3 linked regions of the Lytechinus pictus genome follow. The protein of the gene in region 1 purifies or fractionates together with the protein of each later gene. This does not show direct contact. Links are inferred from orthologs where the notes say so. Each region holds a gene or a part of one and is shown on either strand. Other genes may lie near its edges.

Region 1 (7,232 bases):
ATCCAATAATGATCACTGCCCTTCTCATCCTAAAAATTACATTTCTCCCTTCTCTGTTAGAACGTTGCGGAGCGTTGTGGCCCAGTGGATTAGTCTTCTGACTTTGAAACAGAGGGTAGTGGGTTCGAATCCCAGCCATGGCGTAATTTCCTTCGGCAAGAAATTCATCCACATTGTGCTGCACTCAACCCAGGTGAGATGAATGGGTACTTGACAGGAATTTATTCCTCGAAATGCCACCGTGCTGTAAAAGGCTGCGGGGCTAAAGCCAGGGAAGCGCATAGGGACGTTATGACATGTGATATGCGCTTTACAAGAACTGCGTTATTATTATTATAACGTGGTCATCAACACATTTCAAATATTAATTACCTATTCCATTAAGCTGTAACAGGAAAAATAAAATGGGCATACAGTAATTGTCTCCTTACATAATGAGATATCTCTACGATGTTGATATGAAATATTTAGTATAAATGTGCAAATAGAGCTATCGTATCAAGTATCAGAAACTACTTTTCCATGGAATGTGGTGGAATATTACAAACACCACCTTGCAGCAACATCATTTTCAATAGCAGATTATTTTACTCTAGAATCCAAAGTTATTACCTTTATTTTGTGTAGACATAGAAGCCATTGTATCTATATAGACCTGTTCTTCTTCGGCCATCTCTGTAATGTCGGAGTAATCCACAGCTTCAACTGCTTTCTCTTTCTCACCTGTAATACATACAACACAAGAAATGAATTAAAATAATGTATACTCCTTGCTGAATTCTACTGTAAATAAACAATAAACTCTCTGATGTTCAGCCCAATCAGTCATCAATGTCACCATGTCAGTCTACAATCAAATACTATGATAAATATGGCTGTTACTTTAAGCTTGGAAGGCAAGATGTAATAATGTACAATAGCAAAAAGAAGTTCATCTCATTACAGAATCAATTGCCTTCTAACTGCCCCTTGAATTTTATTGAATATGATACATATGATGGTGGGCCCCAAGTCTGCGCACCTAACAATTTGAGTTAAGATTTAACATGAATTTCTTCTTATTTCACAAAATCTTTCAGGTAATAATGTTCCTTATATTATTAAAAGTAAGTGTACCAAATTTCTCATTAAAAAATGAAAGAAAATATAGGATTTTCTTGAAAAAACCTTGGGCAGTCATTTTCAGATTGAAAAAAAATAAATGGTACCCCATGTCTGCGCACTCATTCACTTTGCACACGATTCGGGGATTTTGATGAGAAAGGCTGCATTTTGAGGCCGTCACATGAAATGCCCTAAATTCATTATTTTTCCATCATTTTGAGTCGGATTTTTTTATCAATACCTGTCTATGTATTGCATGTGTAAAGTTCGTGCTCGTTGCGTATCTTCTTTTACTAGAATCGCGCAGATACGCGTGTGCGCAGACAAGGGGGACTGCGCAGACTTGGGGGAACTTGCCATACATGTATAAATCAGTAACTCCAGTGCACAATCATTAAAATTAACAAAGATACATTATTTAAGACACATGCTTTCCAGCATCTAGATATATCTATTTCAATTCAACTCTTATCATGAGCTTATTAAGTTTAAAGAGAATATAATTTCAAGCTTTGGTAGCCCAGACCACATTATTGAATGGTCTCATCTTTCAGCCCTGCCTATCTATTCCTTACTGCTAGAGTCTTGATCAGAACCTGATTCATCATCATCATCGTAATCCTCCTCCTCGTCATCCTCCTTATCATCATCCTTCCTCTGTTCTCCAGTCAGCTCTTTAAACATAGATTCCAGACCACTCAGGGTTCCGAGACCTGAAAGGTGACACTTGGCATCCTGTTACACAATAGAATCAAATTATGATCAAAGATAGAAAAAACCCAAATACTGTACATAACAATAATATACAACATCTATAGGCTACAGCAGTTTGAACAATGTCTGCAAGTCCTGCATAATATTGTGGGGGCATCGTGGTGTAGTGGTTATGACTCCCGTCTTTCAATCTGAGGGACGTGGGTTCGAATCCAAGCCATGGCGTGTTTTCCTTTAGCAAGAAATTTACCCACATTGTGCTGCACTCCACCCAGTTGAGGTAAATGGGTACCCGGAAGAAATTCCTCAAATGCCAGAGCGCCTGTAGGCAGCACAGCTATAGCCACGGTAAAGATAATGGTAACATTATTGTAATGCGCAGTTGAGTATATACATATAGAAATTGTGCAATATAAACGTACAATTATTGTTATTATTACTATATTACCCAGGCCTGATCAGATACATGTACATGTATTTTAGACTTTGAGCAATTCCTTCCTAGCCATTTACTACACCTAGGTGGAGAGCATAGAAGATGAGTGTTGATAAATGTAGATAAAAGATGCAAGTGATGCAATGGGATTCAAACCCTGAGCCTTGTGGTTCAAAGTTCAGAGACTTGTCCACTGAGCCATAACACCTCTGTCAAGATAGAATATAACAAAAGTAAATATACTTGAGGTTAACACCACATACTCTTTGTGTCAAGTAATCCTACTTTGCTGCTGGTATGAGTGTGGTATGGTGCTACATGTATATGCAGCATATTTCTGTTTTACTTGTATTGTATTTTATTGTGCTGTATTGCATTGAACTTCCTCTCATGCAGTTACTAAAACAAATCCATATATGGAGTGAAATAGGCATTCTCAATCAAACTCTCTACGAAATTGCAACCTTGTACACATGCATGCACATAGCCTATTGAATACCATAACCAGATTAAAGCTCTTTAAAAGCAAATTGATGGGTTTATAAAGAAATATTTAAAAATGATAACACATGATAATTCTAGATTGCATTGATGCTACATGTATATTAACAACATCCACAAGTTTACTGCTATTGGTTAAACTGTCCTTGCATTGTGATTCACATGCACAGTAATGGTCAAATGTTATGAATGATATATGCACTATCCATACCTCATCAAAGACATCATCTTCTAATTGTCCACTCTTATCAATGTTACCAAACATGAATCCAGTCAATGAGAATTCATGGCCACCATCTTCATCCTCAGAATCCATCTTGCTGATCCAACCTTGTGATAGATAAACAAAAATACATGTATCTGATAAAGCTTGAATAGCAAGTTTAGGTACATACAGATTACACTTGAATATCAAGATAAGGTAAAAATGCTTTATTCAACATTAATTTTACCATATCTAAATTATGGAGCAATTGTTTGGGGAAATACACACTCAACCTACCTAGATAAAATATTGCTATTAGAAAAGAAGGCGTTGCGTGTTATTTTCAACTTGTCCTGGAGATCCCACACAGATCACTTGTTTTTCAACAATAACATTCTAAAAATAAAAACACTGTACCAATATAACTTAGGTCAATTCATGTATCAGTTAAACAATAATATGTTACCACCCATATTTCATTCTTCATTTAACAAAAAACAAAACTCTTCACAAATATCCCACACGTCAATCAGATGAATTCCATTTACCACTACCCCAGACCATCCTTACAAAATAAATTTTTACTTTTGAAGGCTCTAGACTCTGGGGAACTATTAATAATAACATCAAAGAATCACCAAGCCTAAATTCTTTCAAATATAAGTTCAAAAAATTTCTCCAAGATAACCATTGAATTAACTCTTCATCACTCAATCTCTTTTTTTTTTATAAATCAAACATAATTATCATGTGACGTACACTTTTCCATCTTTTTCGTTTTCCTGTTGATCAACGAGGTCCGTTTGTGAGTGCTGGGGCTGGATTCTGGAGACCTTTAATCTCTCTTTTTCTTATTTTCTTTTCTATTTTAATTTCCCCTATATCTTTTTAATTTAACTGGTTTATGCTCAAGTTGTTATTTTGATTTTTTTATGCTATGTAAGTACAATAATATTTATTAGGAGGCTGCACTCTACAAGCTCCGCTTTTTAGCAGCCTCCTCCATTTCCAACCTGATATGTAATAATCTTGAATATAATTTTTGTACAGGGATACTTGAATTAAGTTTTGTTCTATGTCAAAATGTACAAAACTGTAATTGTTGAAAATGGAAATAAATGAAATGAAATGAAGGTACATGTAGATAACAATTTCATAATTTCTGGTAGATCCTATTTAGTTCTATGTACGTTTTTAAAGAATCAATAAAATACTAGTGACTTATCTTGAAAAAGGCATTCTAGACCTAGTTGTGGTTTCATTTTTGTTATATTTTAACTTTTACTTCAATCAGTGGTGGATCCAGGATTTCCAAAGGGGGGGGGGGGCACATTTTACCCGAGGAACCTTTGACAAGCAAAAAAAAAGGTTATTTATCATCCAAAATTGAAGGTCTTTTTGTCCACAAAAAAATTTGACAAGCAAAAAAAGGTCCTCACTTGTGTATGAACTGCATATTTACATTACAAATTTTGATTATGGCTCTCAAACGGGGAGGGGGGATTTTCTGTGAAAGCTTGCATTCCTCTGGGTAACAATATTTAATTTTACTTGTGCAAACTCTGGGCCAATCTATTGCGCTCATTTAAAATTCTTCTTTTTCCTGTCACTTTATTCTTTAACGACAAACTTTACTTAAATTAAAGCTTATTATAGGCCAGGGGCATGTTGCATGTAAGGGTCAAATGTTTCACAAAGCCCATTTGGGTGATACAAAGAATGGTTCTTGGAAAGACATGTCCTATGTAGGCATGATGTCCTTTGCACACCACCCGCCACCATCGGTATTATAGGGAAAATGCGTTTACGGCAAGCCACCCTGACATATCACCTTTTTCCATTTTTGTTGTCATTCAATAACATGCTGATGCAGTTTATCTGGGATGGCGCCAACTTATTTTTTGTTTGAGAGCTGGCATCACTTTCATGTCGTCTAATCGCCCGGCAATAAACGACCCAAATTAATACGTGATTATAAATAATTATAATAATAATAATAATTATTCATAATCACGTATCAAATTTTGGTATTTGTTAAATAACAATTTTTATCTATAAATTGTTCTTCATTTTGTAACATCGCTAATCGAAGGTACATCATAACGAAGCGGTTCAAGGGTCAGACCTATTGTATTTGCTTTGTTGAAAAACGGATCGAGGGATCAACACAAGATTGATCTGATAAGAAACCTGTCATTTTTGCCATTCATGGTGAAATAATTTTTATCCCTTCATACGCATTAGGCGTTTGAAGGTTCAAATATCAATCAAATTCACACTTATAAACCGATTTCACCCTGTAAATATGGATTTCCTAGGGAAATCCATCCGGGTGTGGAGGTCTCGCTTAGCATATATGGAAAGAGTTTCAAGGTTCCATGATGTAGAAGTACATATGTCAAAATATTAAAAAATATCATCATGGAGTCCTAGTCACATGGATTGGAAAGGAAGACCTTCGGGTTATAGTTATTTAGTTAATCTTTTTCCTTTCCCGGCATCCATGTGACTCTCCTATTCCTATTGTTTGTATATGTTGTTTATGTGTTTGATGATGCCGAATAAATAATAATAGTCCTCAAGGCTAGGTCCCATATAGGCTCCGTGATGAAATGACAATATAAAAAATGTCATCACAGAGTCCTCTAGGCTAACATTCTCCAATTTAAACAGAAATATCTCTGTCAATATTTGACATCATGAGTTGATTTAAGGACGTTCCACAGTTATGTTTGTGCGCATCATGATCTGCGCATATTTTACGCTCTGCGCGCTGACGTCACAATGGATGAACATGTGATTTAATCAGCTGTAGGTAATGTGAGCTGATTTTTCTCCTTATCAACATTAACTGCAGATCTGATGTGTTATTTTATGAAGCTAATAAACTGGAATTATTCCATGGACCATTTTTTTTAATTCCTCTACAATTTCAAAATAGTTTCTCTGTAGTGCTGCAAACTATGATGAATATGACCCCGAGTATGAATAAATGAAAAAGTGGTTCAGAATTTTTCCTCACAGATACTGCTTTTGGCGCGTGTTTTAAGAAGCAAATTTGCTCTAATAAGAGTGCTGATAGTTTGAAAACAAGCACATAAACCCATATTTTTAAATGTTTGCACCTCTTAGGTATACCTTCTTGTACAACTTTGCAAAGTTTGGTGAAAATGACATGGGTTTTGAATAAAGTGCAGCATTTCTTATACTTCTCAAGTTTGTTATTAAAATTTGACATTTTTGAGGTTGAGTATCTTTCCCGCAATTTCTAAGAACTGATATTGTTGTTAGACTTAAATGAGCAAACAATTGACAGCAATCGATAGATTATCCATCTTACGGATACAATTATTAATCATATTGCAAAATTTGATGAAATTTTCATGGATTTTGACTGATTAATAGGGCTTTAATCTCAATGATGTGATCTCGTGAGGTCTAAAAATGCCGAATTCTTTTGGATGCGCAATTCTTAAGAACATCATCCATTTTGGGTTAACTTTTAAGCTCTATAGCAAAAAATCAAGCACATGGACCCATGTTAATTTTTGCATATTTGGAATATTCAGGTGCTAAAGTATCTATGTGCAAAGTATGATGAAAACGACATGGATTTTCAATGTTTGGGAGCAAGACTACGGAACCACTTGCATTTTAGACGGTATTAACAGACTTATGCTTGTTTTCGGTGCATTTTGGGCTGTTTCAAGCCAACGCGCAATACTTTGGACACTGATAATTTGAAAACGAGCACATGGACCCCAAACTTGTAATGTCTTAACTTCTTTAGAATATATTGTTTTTACAACTCTAGAGAGTATGATGAAAATGACATGGATTTTGAATGTTTGGGAGCAGGACTAAGGAACCATTCATATTTTAGACATTGTGGACGGTATTAGACTTTTGCCCGTTTTAGGCGCATTATAGACTGTTTAAAGCCAACTCGCAACACTTTGGACACTGATAATTTGAAAAAGAGCACATGGACCTCATATTTTTAATATTTTAACGTCTTCACAATATATTCCTCTATAAGTATAGAAAGTATGACGAAAATGACATGGATTTTGAATGTTTGTGAGCAGGACTAAGGAACCATTGGTGTTTCAGACATTTTTTAGACAGTATTATTAGACTTTTGCACGTTTTCGGCGCATTTTAGGTGGATTTCAATATTTTCAAGCCAACTCGCAACACTTTGGACACTGATAGTTTAAAAACAAGCACATGGACCCCATATTTTTTATATTTTAATGTCTTTAGAATATA
Region 2 (7,154 bases), on another chromosome or scaffold:
CTGTTATTCACAAAATATTGCTAAACTTTAAACTTCAATAACTTTATTATTTGTTATTCGATTTTGATGAAATTTTCAGCATTTTGCTCAGTGAATTCTACTCTATGTATTAAATTATAAATATTTTCAGCCCGGACCATCCCTTTAAATACATGGATTTTCATGTTTAAATTTCACAAAGCCACCCTTCCAGAAAATTTCTCCCCAATCTTTCAAACTCTCAAATTCATAATTACCCTACTAGACAACATATCAACTTACGTATTCCTTTTTCTAAAATTAATTTTATTCGTAATTCGATCAGATATATCGGGGTGAAAGAATGGAATTCTCTCACATATGATATCAAAAAACAGCACAACATTCGCGATTTAAGTCACTATCAAAGTCATTTTTTGTTCAATTATTTAAACAACTCCAATCCCCCCATGTAATTGTATTTTATCATTTTTTTTCTTGTCTTATCTTCTATTCTATCTTCTGTGTTGTTTTTGCATTGTGTGATGATGTGTGGGTGTGTGTGTTTATTCATAACCTTTTTTTTACCCATTATATTTTGTATTATTTTGTTGGTATCATGTTATTTCTGTAAATATTTTGATGTTTTTTTTAATGGTCAATAAATTGAAATTGAAATTAGGTTTCAATTGTTATGATACATTGTATTCTCCATCTTTTGTGTATTTTGTGCATTTGAAAGCCAATTTCTTTGTAAGCTTGCATGAATGCATCAACCAATTAAATATAATTGAATCCTGAATCTAATATCTGAAAAATGTTTTCGCCCATCCGATAAAAAAGTCTGGAGTATTGTGACCCAGAAGCAAATTACATGAAAGGGTGTAGCCTAGACCTACTTTGCATCATTCATAAAGGAACTTTTTCACATTGAAACACCTTTCCATTCTTTGATTCTTATTTGCTTTCCATACAAACAACTATTAATATATATATTATTCCAAATACAAATATAAATCAGATACAAATTAAGGGATCAACATTTTAAAGAAAAGCAGTACAAAAATTGAGCCTAGCATTAGGCTACAAAGAAAACAAAAAAATTGTTAATAGGAATAATAGTGTAAAGTCAGTAGTCTAGTGAGTCTACAGTCTAGAGAACGCGCGCATCACTCATATAACCTAATAGGATCTTCTGCCCAGAGTCTGATTATGGGGAACAAAAGAGCTCAACGTCCCAAACTTAAAGGATGCGTCAGAGTATAATTTCATACCCTCAAAACTTTGCAACATCATTCTAAAGAGAAATTGAATAGAAAGATGATGAAAATTGTCCAAAATACATTTTCAAAGTCTTTTGTCAGATCTAGATCTTTATTCTCAAACTCATACAATATTTTAAAAATAATTAGCTCAACAGCGATTTTGTTGCTTTCTCAACTTCACCCATAGAAAACAGTATGTTCAGTAGTAGATTTCAGTTCACATGGCGACATGCAAAGCCGAGGACTGTGAAGAGGGGTCCAATTGCCTTGGCTTAGATGCTGATAGCGTAAAAAAGAAAACGATTTTGGAAAAATTTTTACATAGGTTCTAGATTATTTATAACTTAGGTATTCATGCATTTATGGTGAAAGTTTGGTGAATTTTATAAGAATATTTGGTTTGATATGATTGAATTCATGAAAAGCAATCGGTAATAATACGATCCACTAGTATGAAGGGGAGCCCCATGTCTGCGCACCTAAAACTTTAACTTAAGATTAAAGTTAAACATGAATTTTATTCCACAAAAGTTTTCAGTTGATGTTGTTCCTTATCTATATTCTTAATGGGTACCGTAAGCCAAAAATCTCGTGAAAATTTGAAAAAAATATATATGATTTTCTATTAAATTCTTGGAAAAACCCTCGGACAGTCATTTTCAGATTGAACAAAAGAAGGTGCCCCTTGACTTGTCCGCGCACCCATTTACTTTAACGTTACACACGATTTTGATGATAAAGTAAAAAAGGCTGCATTTTGAGGCCGTGACCCCAGTGTGACATTGAAATGCCTGAAATCTGAATTCAATATTTTTCCACCATTTTGAGTCGGATTTTTTAATGAACACGCCTATCTGTGTATGTATTTCAGGGGTGTAGATTCTATATTTTGTGGTCTTTGGTATCTTCTTTTTATTAAAGCCTAAAGGGCACTGAACAGTCTTGGGGCACCTTGCCACTATTACTATAAAACGTCCACGTCCTTGACGCGGACGCCGTCATACTCAGTCATAGCCCTAACCCAGGGAGCGCCCGCGCAGCGGGCAGGAGCCCAGGGGCTTACCGTGTATTTTACCATAGTCACCGGACTAGGGTGATTTATGGTCTAAATATTTCTCCAAATGAATTGTGAAAACAGAAAGTATACAATTACCACGATTATATGGATGAAGGTCTAACGAGTGGCAGTTTCCTGACATCTGGGCACAGACTTGAACCTCAAAAAAACGAAAAGTTCTCTCCTTCTACCCCCGTCTCGATCGGCCATTTTTGTTAAAAATCGTAACAAAATGGCCGATCGAGACTGGGGACTGGGGTAGAGGAGAGAACTTTTCGTTTTTTTGAGGTTCCAGTCTGTGCCCAGATGTCCGGAAACTGCCACTCGTTAGACCTTCATCCATATAATTGTGGTATACTTTCTGTTTTCACAATTCATTTGGAGAAATATTTAGACCATAAATCACCCTAGGCCTAGTCCGGTGACTATGGTCAAATACACGGTAAGCTCCTGCCAGTCCTGGGCTCCCTCCCGCTGCGCGGGCGGGAGCTCCCTGGGTTATCATAGCTCCTGCCCGGCCCCACCGCGCCCCATGGCATGGGGCCCGCGAGTGCAAATCGTCATAGTCCATGGACATGGTCCCACTGCCACTGCACTGGATGTGCCCGATTCTTCAAGATATTTTTGACTTATAGTTTATTTCTTACTCATTTTCATTTACAATACTCACTATATGCAAATTCCAGCATCTGATTTATCACTCTTGGCTCGTAATCTGTCACTCCCATATCTTTCAAAATAGCTGTCATAATTTCGGCATCGCGGGGCTGGGTTTTGTTGGAACTAGCCATCTTGACAAAAGCTGTATAACTTATTGTCGTAGATGGCAGCAAAGCAATCGATTTTGATTTGATCGACCAGTGACGTGATCATCCACCTCGATCACAAACCGCAAAATATTTGTTTAATAAACTCAAATGAATAGAATAATGGTAAGGATAAGGATTAAAATAATAATGATAATCAGGGGCGTAGACAACGGGGGGGATGAGGGGGATGCATCCCCCCCACCTCACAAGGTGGGGGGGATGGCATGTACAATCATCCCCCCCAGGTTTTGGGGAATGATATTTGGTTACTTAATAAGTCATAATGATGATAATAATAGTAATAATAATAATGATAACAATTATAATATTAATAATAATAATAATTATGATGATGATAATAATAATCCTCATCATTATTGTAATTGTGTTTATTGTTATTAGCCGCATTCACACGGTGAAAGCCAATTCAGACGGTAAAAAAAAGAAAATCTTACAAGTATTTACTGGGCAGGAACGAAAAGAGGCGCAAGATATTTGGTTTCTAAGACACAAATTTGCAAGACTACAAAAGTAAAACTGACTAAGAGACCGATATGTTTGTTTGTTGAGCCATGAATGCTCCTTAAGTAAGTTTACCAACTTACCGCATGTCTCTATTATCTGATTAGCAACTGTTAATCAAGCTGTTTTTGGTATGGGAATGAAGCAACAACTTTTTTTCTTTTCATCGAGACTACTTTTCAGGCACGAACCGAGTACTAGCAATACCTTCTCATATATGATATGTATTATATTTATTTATTTATTTATTAGTTTATATCAGATTATATTACAGGTATATGATATTTATACATATATATATACATTATATGCATTTATTTATTTATTTATTTATATATTTATATACACGTTATTTTCTCAAGTCGGTTTTTATTGAAATACATGTGTGGTCTGGCCCACTCGTGTTATAGGCATTATACATTGTGTGTAAAATGCATCAGCGCAATCTAAAACAGAATAGAAAATGAATGTGATACAACAGTATACATAATAATTCGTGACAGAGAGTACCATACTACTATCTTTATAACAAGTATTATTCAAACAAACATATATAATTATGTATAATCATGAATTGTTCAACTTCATGCTCCCACTATATGACTATTGTTACACTAATACTGATATCAGGACTGACTGGTATACATTAGTTTGTTGTTAAGCTTGCAGCAGCTACATCTTTTCTGTATTGTTAACTATTTATTTATTTTTGTTTTATTTAAGATGCACTTTGTTTTGTATTCATTTAAAGTATGTTGATTGATGCATGAAGACATAAGTTTGAAATGTTTAAAGAAGTTTGTTTCATGTAAAGCGCAGTGTGAATTTACCCTGTCTTGAAATGCGAGATAAAAGGAACCTATTAGTATTAGCATTATTATTTGTATTAGTATTATTATTTTTTTTTATTATTATTATTATTATTATTATTATTATTATTATTATTATTATTATTACTATTATAAGACTGAGATCAAATAGAAGTAAATAATGCTCTAATTTGAAACGATGCAATGCCGTTATGGTTCCGATTTCTTCACAAACTTACAGAGCAGTATTGTTACTCCATGGATCATAGTGATACTGTTTATGTTTTTTGTATCTGTATGTTAATGAGCCGCCAGCCAATATCCATCTATGGATACTATGCCTGTTTCTTTGAGGTAAAAAAAAGCATAGTATGTACGTATTCATTATGCTTTATAATGAACAGACATATTGTTATTTGTTTGTTGTTTATGTGTTCTATTCACAAATGGCCACAGAGGCTGTTTTCATTCATAACCACATACCCATATCAAGACAACAAAGACTATACCTGCGTGTACACAGTTGACATTGGGTTTTTTTCTGAAGAGGTGTAACAGCAAAATTCACAGAGATAAATAAATACGTAGTGTGGTTCAATATGCAATACTATGTGTCAGTCCATTCTGTATTCGTATGCCACGGTGTGTAGATCTTGTCGATGTATGTCTGTCCATTCAAGGCGTAGTATGTGTGTGGTGCGCGCACCCGTGTGTGTGTGTGTGTGTGTGTGGGGGGGGTGAGTATGTGTGTGTGTGCGTGCGCGCTTGTGTGTGTTATTTTACCTCATTAAGTATGCATCAGATTGCACGATTTCAAGTTCAAAATTGCAAAAGCTCCCTACCGTGGGAGGGGGGACACCCCCCTCCCACACCCTCCCCCCCCCCCCTCGGTAGCTTCGCTCCCTCGCTCGGGCGCTTCGCGCCCTCAACAGCGTTGGCAGCCCAGTCATCCCCCCCTGGTGTACGAACCTGTCTACGCCACTGATGATAATAATAATGATAATAATAACAATAATAATAATAACAATAATAACTATTACTATTATTTGTCAGAGAGTCGATGAGGAAAGGAAAGGATATGACAGCGAAAGCTGAAGGCTGATCCTAGGAAAATGAGATTGGAAGGATGGAAAGAGAAGGTGATGCACGGACAGCATTTAAGGACGTTCCACAGTTAAAGTGAAATCCATGTCATTTTCACCAAACTTTGCACATAGATACTTTAGAACCTTAATATTCGAAATATGCAAAAATTAACATAGGTCCATGTGCTTGATTTTTTGCTATAGAGCTTCAAAGTTCGCGCATTCAAAAGAATTTGGCATTTTTAGACCGCCCAAGATTACTACAATGAGTTTAAACCTCCATTACTCAGTCAAAATACATGAAAAAGTCATCAAATTTCGCAAGAGAATTAATAATTGTATCGTTAGAATTGAGAATCTATTAATAGTGCTATTTGTTTGCAATTTTAAGTTTAACAGCACTGTCAGTTCTTAAAAATTGCGTAAAATATAACAAAATCCCAATCTAAAAAATGTAAAATTTCAGTAACAAACTACAAACGTACAATAAATGCTGCACTTTATTCAAAATCCATGTCATTTTCACCAAAATTTGCAAAGTTGTAGAGGAAGGTATACCTAAGAAGTACAAACATTAAAAAATAGGGGTTCATGTGCTTGTTTATAAACTATCAGCATTTTTATTAGAGCAAATGTGCTTTTTAAAACACCAAAAATGCGTCGAATGCTTTGTATCTATGTGAGGAAAAAATCAAAACCACTCTACCATTTATTCAAACTCGGGGACATATTCGTGATTCTTGGCAGCACTGCAGAGTAAAGTATTTTGAAATTGTAGAGATATTTAAAAAAATGGTCCATGGAATAATTCTATTTTCTTAGCTTCATAAAATAACGCATCGGATCTGCAGTTAGAGTGCAGATGATGAGAAAATTCAGCTCATACTCACAGCTAATTAATCACTTGTTCATCCATTGTGACGTCAGCGCGCAGAGTTTAAAATATGCGCAGATCATAATGCGCACAAACATAACTGTGGAACGTCCATAAGACAGACAGAGGAGTTTGCTGGACCAGAGTTGGCAGAGTTCACCATTAACTAAGGTGCTCAGAAGATCCAGGCTAGGACATGGGCGGAAATCTCTTCCTAAAATTAAGGGGGCCACATTTGAGTTTTCCGTTGTTATGTTCTACAGAGTTACTAACTCAAACACACACACACCATCACACACACATACATACATATATATATATAATTATAATATATATATACATACATACATTTCGAAGAGGAGGTATTCCTGACTAAAGATGAAAGGCCTCTATAAATAATGCGAGCGCGAAGCGCGAGCTGAAAGTTTTTGATTTTGCAACCTAAAAACTGGACATTTGTAACACTTTTTCAAATTATGAACAGGATAGCTAGGAATTACCTAAAAACTGAACATTCGTAAAACTTTTTCATATCATGAACAGAATAGGAATGTAACTAAATAATAGATGCGAGCGCGAGCTTAAGTTTGTAATTTTCCAACCTAAAAACTGTACATTCTTAACAGTTTTATAAAAATCATGAACAGGATAGGAATCTAATAAAATAATGCTCGCGCTTCGCGCTAGCATTATTTTATTAGATTCCTGAAAGTTTTTGATTTTCCAACCTAAAAACTGGACATTCGTAACACTTTTTCAAATCATGAACAGGACA
Region 3 (7,354 bases), on another chromosome or scaffold:
TCCATTTGTACATGTAGGTATGTTACAAAAAAAATTGAGAACTGAGGTGTTTGTTTCAGAGCATCATTTAGAGCTCATCAAGACCTTTCATTTAACACCCTATTCATCTCAATAGCCCCAGTAGCCTCAACAGCTGCCATAAACATTCAACTACGTAAAAACACTTCAGGCTCAGCCACAACATTGCCTTGGCTTCACTCACACGTATTGCAAGGTAAGTATGCTATACTAACCTTGCACTACGAACGTGTTTACGCAATGGATTTTAGAGATGTCAGTTAACATCGCTTCATAACACAAATAATGTTAGCCGAAACTCATTCAGCTACTCACCAGGGCTTTTTTTTGTTGAAAAGCGTTCTATTTTCAATTTTAAAAATATTTTAAATATAAAAAGCACATAAAAAAGAGCAAACTCGCTAACCTCGGCCTGGAAAGTGGCTTCGCATGTCTCTTCCACGGAAATGAAAGGAAGGTCGTTACTGGCGCTAATACAATTCACAACCTTAATTCAGCTTGTCAGTATTTTTAAACTAGATCCTTGATTTATTGTATGCGCATTTCCTATGATTGTTTGATAAAATAGAGACACACATTGGACACTTTGCCGACTTCACGTAACGCTTGCATCGACTTTACGTGTAATACAGTTTTTGTGCCTAGTCAAAACTGTTTTTGTGCAAATAGTCTAAATCAGTTCAAATCCAGACTTGAAAAATTTTGGCACAACCATCCTCTGAAGTACAGACCTTACCAAAGATAAGAAAATCAACGAGTAGCACATAAGCAGATTGCTTTACATCTCAACATCCAAGTAAATCCAAGTAGTCTTTCCCTTAAATTAATTAATTAATTGTAGTGTCTTTGATATGAGGATAAATCGCGCGCCCTCTCTAGCTAATTAGACGGAAAAATATTTGGGAAATAGAAGCAAGCTCCGTATTTTGTCAACGAGAAGAAAAATCAATGCTTAAATTGACGCTATTTGAGGGATATTCATCATATTACATGCATTAGGGGGAATTGACTTCCATGACATGCATCGTTCGGTAAGTTTCATAGGATTTGATTTTATGAATCATCTTCTGAAATTTGCAGGAGTTTGTTGCAATTTTGCATGCGCCTTGCCTTCATTTTTCCTGTACACCCAGTTGGACGATCAATTTTAGAAAGTCATTTGGAAAAATTTACAAGCGAAGTTTCAGCAATTTTTAGTACAAAATGTTACTGTTAGGAAATATTATAAAGAACAAAATAGAAGATGACTACAATTTAGATTAAATTCATATTCTTAGTGTAATCCAAACAAAGACAAAAAAGAAGGCTTCAAAAATATAAAGTGTCCGGACACCCGACCCCCATCCTACATGGCGGCAGTAATGCACCCATGGCATGGGTGCCTTGGGCTTGGCTTTTGCCCTGCCCCTGGCTTGGCCTTGCCACATCGCCATCGGGAATTTTAAGCTCCATTATTTTCAGTTCACTTTCAGCATCGATCGATCTTGTTCTTAATCTTTATTCTTAGTCATGTTAGTCTTCTTCTTCTTCAAGCTACACTGCCTCCTTCAATCCTGAAGATTCTTGCAGTATTGTAGTACCGGGGACCGGCAGGTGCAATACACCGGGTGAACACCCTACTCTTTGACGAATAGTGTATTGGTTTTAACGTGAATAGGTTGTGACTCTCCTATAGTAGCTATACACGGGACCAACATTTGCGTCCTTTCCGATGGACGGAGTGTTTTCCAACTGCATTCACACCCGCACTGAACACAGCGGTGAGGCACGTTAACACACAACGCTAGCATCAGTTTTTTTGTAAGACGTCTTCCGGCATGCTGCGGGACTCGAACCCACGCACGTTGAGATCTACGAGTACGATCTTATCCGGAACAGGCGCTCTAAGACCAAGTCTAAGACCTAAGTTTCTAATCTAAGTATGGTTGGAACTACCCCTTATCGACCACCTAATCTTCTCAGCATCGTATCTGCGAAAATATTCATCAATTTTACCCAGTTTTAGTCCCATTTGTGCAGAAAATTGAGCAGATCAGATTCCCATGTTTCGCTCGGCGACTCCGATTCAATCCGCGTATATATCGACGAACAACGAATACAACGATTTTACATTTGCTCATTTGCACCCGTCTTTTGAAACCGACCACCCGCGATACACTAAGTTTACGGCCGATTCTTGTCGCGGTGGCGAAATATTTTTACTCTTCCAAATCAGTTCTATGATGTCAACATGCTAAATGATCGTCTCACTACTTCCACTGCGAGCTCCGGCACATGATTCGACGATTGACGACGGATATTTGTTCTAAAGCCGTTTCCTATCGGACTTCTTGGTTTTTCAGCGGGAATTGGGTCTGGTCAATACAATTTTGATTAATTCTACTAAATTTTTACTTTTTGTTGCTTCTTTTTTTCTCGTAAAATCGATTCTTACCGTTTCTATGGACACTGCGCCTACTCTCCCGCGCGTATCGTTTGTAATACGCAATAATTTTAACGCGCGCAAGGTGGTCGGTTTCAAAAGAGGTGGTCGATATGTGGTAGTCTCACCATATAGTAACTAGTGAGTCACTAGTCTAACCGACCGAGTCTGACTCTGAGCTACACTGCCTCCCATCTCAGTCGGTCTCAGTAGGACTTCATCTTCACAGTATTATTTTTTATTATTGACTGAAGTAAGTGATCAAAATTTATGCAAACGTGCAAGTCAAGTCAAAGGTAGAAAAAAAAAACGGTCGAATCGAAACACAGAAACGTGATTGCCCCTACGCCCTATATGCATAAGAATCGCACGCACGGGCATGACGGGTTGAGCTGGTGTATGGACCGGATACGGACTACACAACACGGCGTTAGTTTACTTTAAAAAAAAATATTTTAAGTTCAAGTTTATGCAGGTAAGCAACGATAAATTTGTCATGTAAACCTATATAATCTTGGCTCACCTTATCAAAAGGACTTCAATTCAAGCCGGGTGAGACAGTGATTGTCCAGTGATTTTTTTAACGACAACTCTTCTCATGGGTCCACTGCGCTGCCAGAAGAAAAGTATATTTCACGTTATATTAGACCAACGAACGTAGAGGGCAGCAACACACAAGCGTGTTGCTCTATCTAGCTAAGGAAGGTCAACTCCGCTCGAATTTTGTGACCACTCTAAAAAATAAGGTGGGGTTTTGGGAAATTTGTCGAGTTGATTTTTTTTCATTTGATAATTTCAAATATTTTTAATGAACAATTATTAGATCGCTTATTCTGGGTATAAATATTAAAAATATTATTCTTATTTTTAAAGAAAATATTTAGCTTCAATAATCATGATTTTGACATTTTTCCTCATTTTGGAATATTAAGTCTATGACGAGGATACCCCTAATCTGTTATTTTCTTCTGCTGAATTTCGCTGCACCACTAATAAATGCATAGACAACCACCGTAATAATCGAGGTCATTTTTCCGGCCTGGGTGCGCCGAGTCTGGGCCGGTCGCGCAGCTAGCTATAGTGACGTTGATGATGCGCTGGGGCTTCAGGCGACTCGTCATAGATCTTCTAGCAACATAGACAATGACGTCTAATTTGCCTGGCCTGATTTGAAGTGTAATGGCTTCAGGGCTGATGTTAATCAACGATGATTGTTCAAGGTTAGATTTCAAATTTTAATTGTCATTTGACTTTTAAGTCTATAAATCTGAAATAAAGGCGCTGTATCCCCGAAATCCGGGTCTAAATTTCAACTCCGAGTCCGAGACCATGGCATGGACGTCGAAAAACAACAACCCACGCATCGGATGCATTGCATTGGCTGCGCGCTGCGCTGCAGCTGCACTGTGATGATGGATTCAGCGAAGAGCTCAGAGAAAATAAGGTGGTCATATTCAATCCCGAAATGCTTTGCGAGTGGTCACAAAATCGTCTCGACGCAAATCACCTAAAGGCCACCGCACACCTTACGACTGTCCGCGATCCGATTTTGGAACAAATCGCATTTTGCTCATTTTCTGAAAATGTGAATGGAACATATCATTTAATTTGAGGTTTAAATTAATTGAAAGAATACTAATATAACCATTTTGAAAGATTGCAAGCCTTTATTTCTGAGTAAAGGCCAAATTAGTTTCAAATCGTAGCCAATCGTACGACTGCTATGACGTCATTACGACTAGATATTAAATTCGCTTTTATTCTAAGAAGGATGATAGCATAGTCACAGATTTGAACATAGGTATTCGTACGATGATTTAGAACATTACACAGTAAGATATTCCAAATCTCAATGTTAGCATCAAATTCTACTACATTTCATTCTGAAATCGGGTCGCAGACCAATCGTAAGGTGTGCGGTCGCCTTAATACAGCCGTCTGGTGAAATCGCTGATAACAACAATCACCGATTTGGTAATGATTTAGTTTCTAAAACTTATATTTGTAAAGTTTTAAATATCAACGTATGTTTTCAAATGTACGTATATTCTCCAACATAATTTTTTAATGTTATCTTTGATATCGTTGTAGTCATATTCTTTCATATTGTTTTCGTGATCGCTACTAATTTGTTGTTGTATTGGATCGGCGTATGATTTCGTTGGCATAAATGATAAAATATGCGCGTACCTCAGCTGCATGCGCGTATTGAGTTGACCTTCCTTAGAGCAACACGCTTGTGTGTTGCTGCCCTCTACGTTCGTTGTAATAGACGTAGACAAACGAACGTAGAGGGCAGCAACACACAAACGTGTTGCTCTATCTAGCTAAGGAAGGTCAACTCCGCTCGAATTTTGTGACCACTCTAAAAAATAAGGTGGGGTTTTGGGAAATTTGTCGAGTTGATTTTTTTTCATTTGTTAATTTCAAATATTTTTTAATGAACAATTATTAGATCGGTTATTCTGCAGATCATCCGAAAAATCAAGATGAACAAAAACATATAAACATTTAAAAGAAATACATAGACGTATACAGGGGCCGCGGAGCGGGGGGGGGGGGGGGGCTTCAGCCCCCCACTTTTTTCCAAAACCGTGTACAAAAACGTAAAAATTACCATATGATTGTGATTTTTGCATGGTCAGCCCCCCCCCCCCCACTTTGAAAACCGTTCCGCGGCCCCTGGTATAGGCCTATCACCAGAAAGACTATAATATATAGTCGCATTCACCTGTGTGCAAGAACATCACAATTCCCTTATCAAAATGTGCTTATCAAGAGTGTACAAAATAATAAAATTATACGTCCCTAACAATTAAGAGGGATATATTATGATATAAATTGTTCCTTTTCTTCTTGTTCTGGCCATGACTTTAAATCATATTTGTCTATTAATAATCAAACTGCATATTTCAGACCTATTTCAAGCACTGAAATAATTAATATTGTTATTGTTAAATACAAGTCCAAGCTATAATGGTATATATAGTATAGAAATGTCGGTCATTAAAAAAAAACTATTTTGATCAGCAGTGAGCCATTAAGTGCATTATTTAATAAGTGTTTTGAATTGGGATCATTTCCATGTCAACTACAGATTGCAAAAGTTATTCCAGTTCATAAAAAAAGGGTCCTTCTGAAATTATGTCTAATTATCGACCTATCTCATGCAGTATACAAGCTATCTTTTCTAAAATATTAGAAAAATGTATCTATCTATAACCGATTGTTAAATTTTATCATAAAGTGCAATGTATTGAACCCTACTAATGATATGGTTTTAGCCAGGATATTCCACATCTGCTTTATTGGTAAATTTTATTCAGAAAGTTACTCGTGCATGCAATAGATGATGAAGAAATTATGATTGCTTGTTTATAGATCTCAGCTGAGCTTTCGGTAAGATCGACCATTTTATTTTATTAGAAAAAACTAAACTCTTATGGAATTAAAGGAATCACATTGGATCTTTTCAAAAGTTATTTAGGTAATCGCAAACAATGTAGTGATAAGTTTTATCTTAATATTGCAAAATGCGGAATTTCGCAGGGTTCAATACTCGGCCCTCTATTGTTTTTATTGTACATGATTTCTGTATTAAAAGGCCTCTGACCAGTGGCATACCTAGGATTTTCCACAGGGGGGGGCAAAACCGTCCGCCCAAAAATTTAACAAGCAAAAAAAAAAAAAAAAAAAAAAAAAAAAAGGTCTTCAAGTCAGGGGGCATTGAAGGACTTAAAGCTCGTCAGAGGGGCAAAAAAGGTTTTTCAAGCCCGTCAGGGAGGGCAAAGATACGTTTTTGCATGGGTTGTGACTCGTCAGGGGGGCAGAGTGCCCCCCCTGCCCCCCCCCCCCCCGTAGGTACGCTAGTGCCTCTGACCTTTTAAAATGTATTCTAGTTGGCTTCACCACCTTTCTCTAGCTCATCTTTCATGATCATCGAGAAACGCAACCCGGATTAAAACCAACTGGTGTACGTATTTCCGTGGTGTGAACGGGTGCTTTACCTTCCTTCCTGGTTTTCTCCCTCCGCTGCTTTCGGAGATCAGCCCTATGAAGGCAATAGTATCCATAATAAATAACCATCCAGGGTTAAGAGTAGACAGGACAAGTCGTATACCGTTACCGTATAGCAGACGCTCTTGACTTTCATGATTGATGTGCTAACGAAGCGACTGGCGAATGACCGGATAAAATGTCTGTTACTCGATTATGGTAAGTAATTTCGATGATTATTTGTATCTGCAAAACTTTTGATGCATTTTGATGTATTTGCAGTAGTTTGCATTCAAATTAAGCCCAGAAAAATAGTATAAATCATGTTATGCCCGCTGGGAAGCCCAGTCCCATACGTTTAAAATTGTGTTTCCTTTTCCATATTTTGGAGTGTCGCGGCACTCGCACGTATTGCGAGGTTAGTTAGTATACTAACGCCCGTAACGGTAACAATTTGTTTAACAAACGTTGCGAATGTAATTATGAATGATGCTATGATTAATGTTTGGCCTTAACATGTGTTTTAGTTAAACATATGTGTAAGTACGATGTTATGGATGTCTGAAAACGCTAAACGTTACATCTGCATCTTAAACTCAGTCTCAGTCTCAGATTAATTTTTCTAAGACTAAGTCTAGACAAGGCCTGGCTTAGGGAAGTTCACCCTGAAAAGTTCATTGTAAAAATAGCAGAAAAAATAATTATAAAAATCTTGGCGAAGGTTTTAGGAAAATCCATCAGAATAAAAATTGATTAGAATTGTTATTATCTGGTTTGTGACGTCATTTGCGAGCAGCTTTCCTACATATCGTATGGTAATTAAAATTTTTTTAAAAGGTCATGGGAAGATGCAGTGTCAAATAAACTTGAGGATCTGGGAAGATCACTGACAGAGATGACAGATCCTGACCAAGCTTG

The links.
Region 2: the proteins of transcription initiation factor TFIID subunit 1-like (region 1) and transcription initiation factor TFIID subunit 9-like purify together in Drosophila melanogaster (affinity purification with western blotting; 3 studies listed by BioGRID, with this or other methods). This does not show direct contact. The link is inferred for Lytechinus pictus from reciprocal best matches to the Drosophila melanogaster genes Taf1 and Taf9.
Region 3: the proteins of transcription initiation factor TFIID subunit 1-like (region 1) and transcription initiation factor TFIID subunit 6-like purify together in Drosophila melanogaster (affinity purification with western blotting; 3 studies listed by BioGRID, with this or other methods). This does not show direct contact. The link is inferred for Lytechinus pictus from reciprocal best matches to the Drosophila melanogaster genes Taf1 and Taf6.

The regions. Positions count from the first base shown.
Region 1 is NW_026974140.1:16,366,821-16,374,052, forward strand, and holds the start of transcription initiation factor TFIID subunit 1-like, read right to left. Parts: upstream 3,083-7,232; 5' UTR 3,072-3,082; coding exon 2,967-3,071; intron 1,840-2,966; coding exon 1,680-1,839; intron 724-1,679; coding exon 613-723; intron 1-612. UniProt on the Drosophila melanogaster protein: TFIID is a multimeric protein complex that plays a central role in mediating promoter responses to various activators and repressors. Largest component and core scaffold of the complex.
Region 2 is NC_087260.1:4,330,342-4,337,495, forward strand, and holds the start of transcription initiation factor TFIID subunit 9-like, read right to left. Parts: upstream 3,083-7,154; 5' UTR 3,072-3,082; coding exon 2,951-3,071; intron 1-2,950. UniProt on the Drosophila melanogaster protein: TFIID is a multimeric protein complex that plays a central role in mediating promoter responses to various activators and repressors.
Region 3 is NC_087260.1:23,354,356-23,361,709, reverse strand, and holds the start of transcription initiation factor TFIID subunit 6-like, read right to left. Parts: upstream 3,083-7,354; 5' UTR 2,964-3,082; intron 2,916-2,963; exon of another isoform or gene 2,795-2,915; intron 1-2,794. Other genes in the region: acyl-coenzyme A thioesterase 9, mitochondrial-like, read left to right, coding at 3,620-3,660. UniProt on the Drosophila melanogaster protein: TFIID is a multimeric protein complex that plays a central role in mediating promoter responses to various activators and repressors.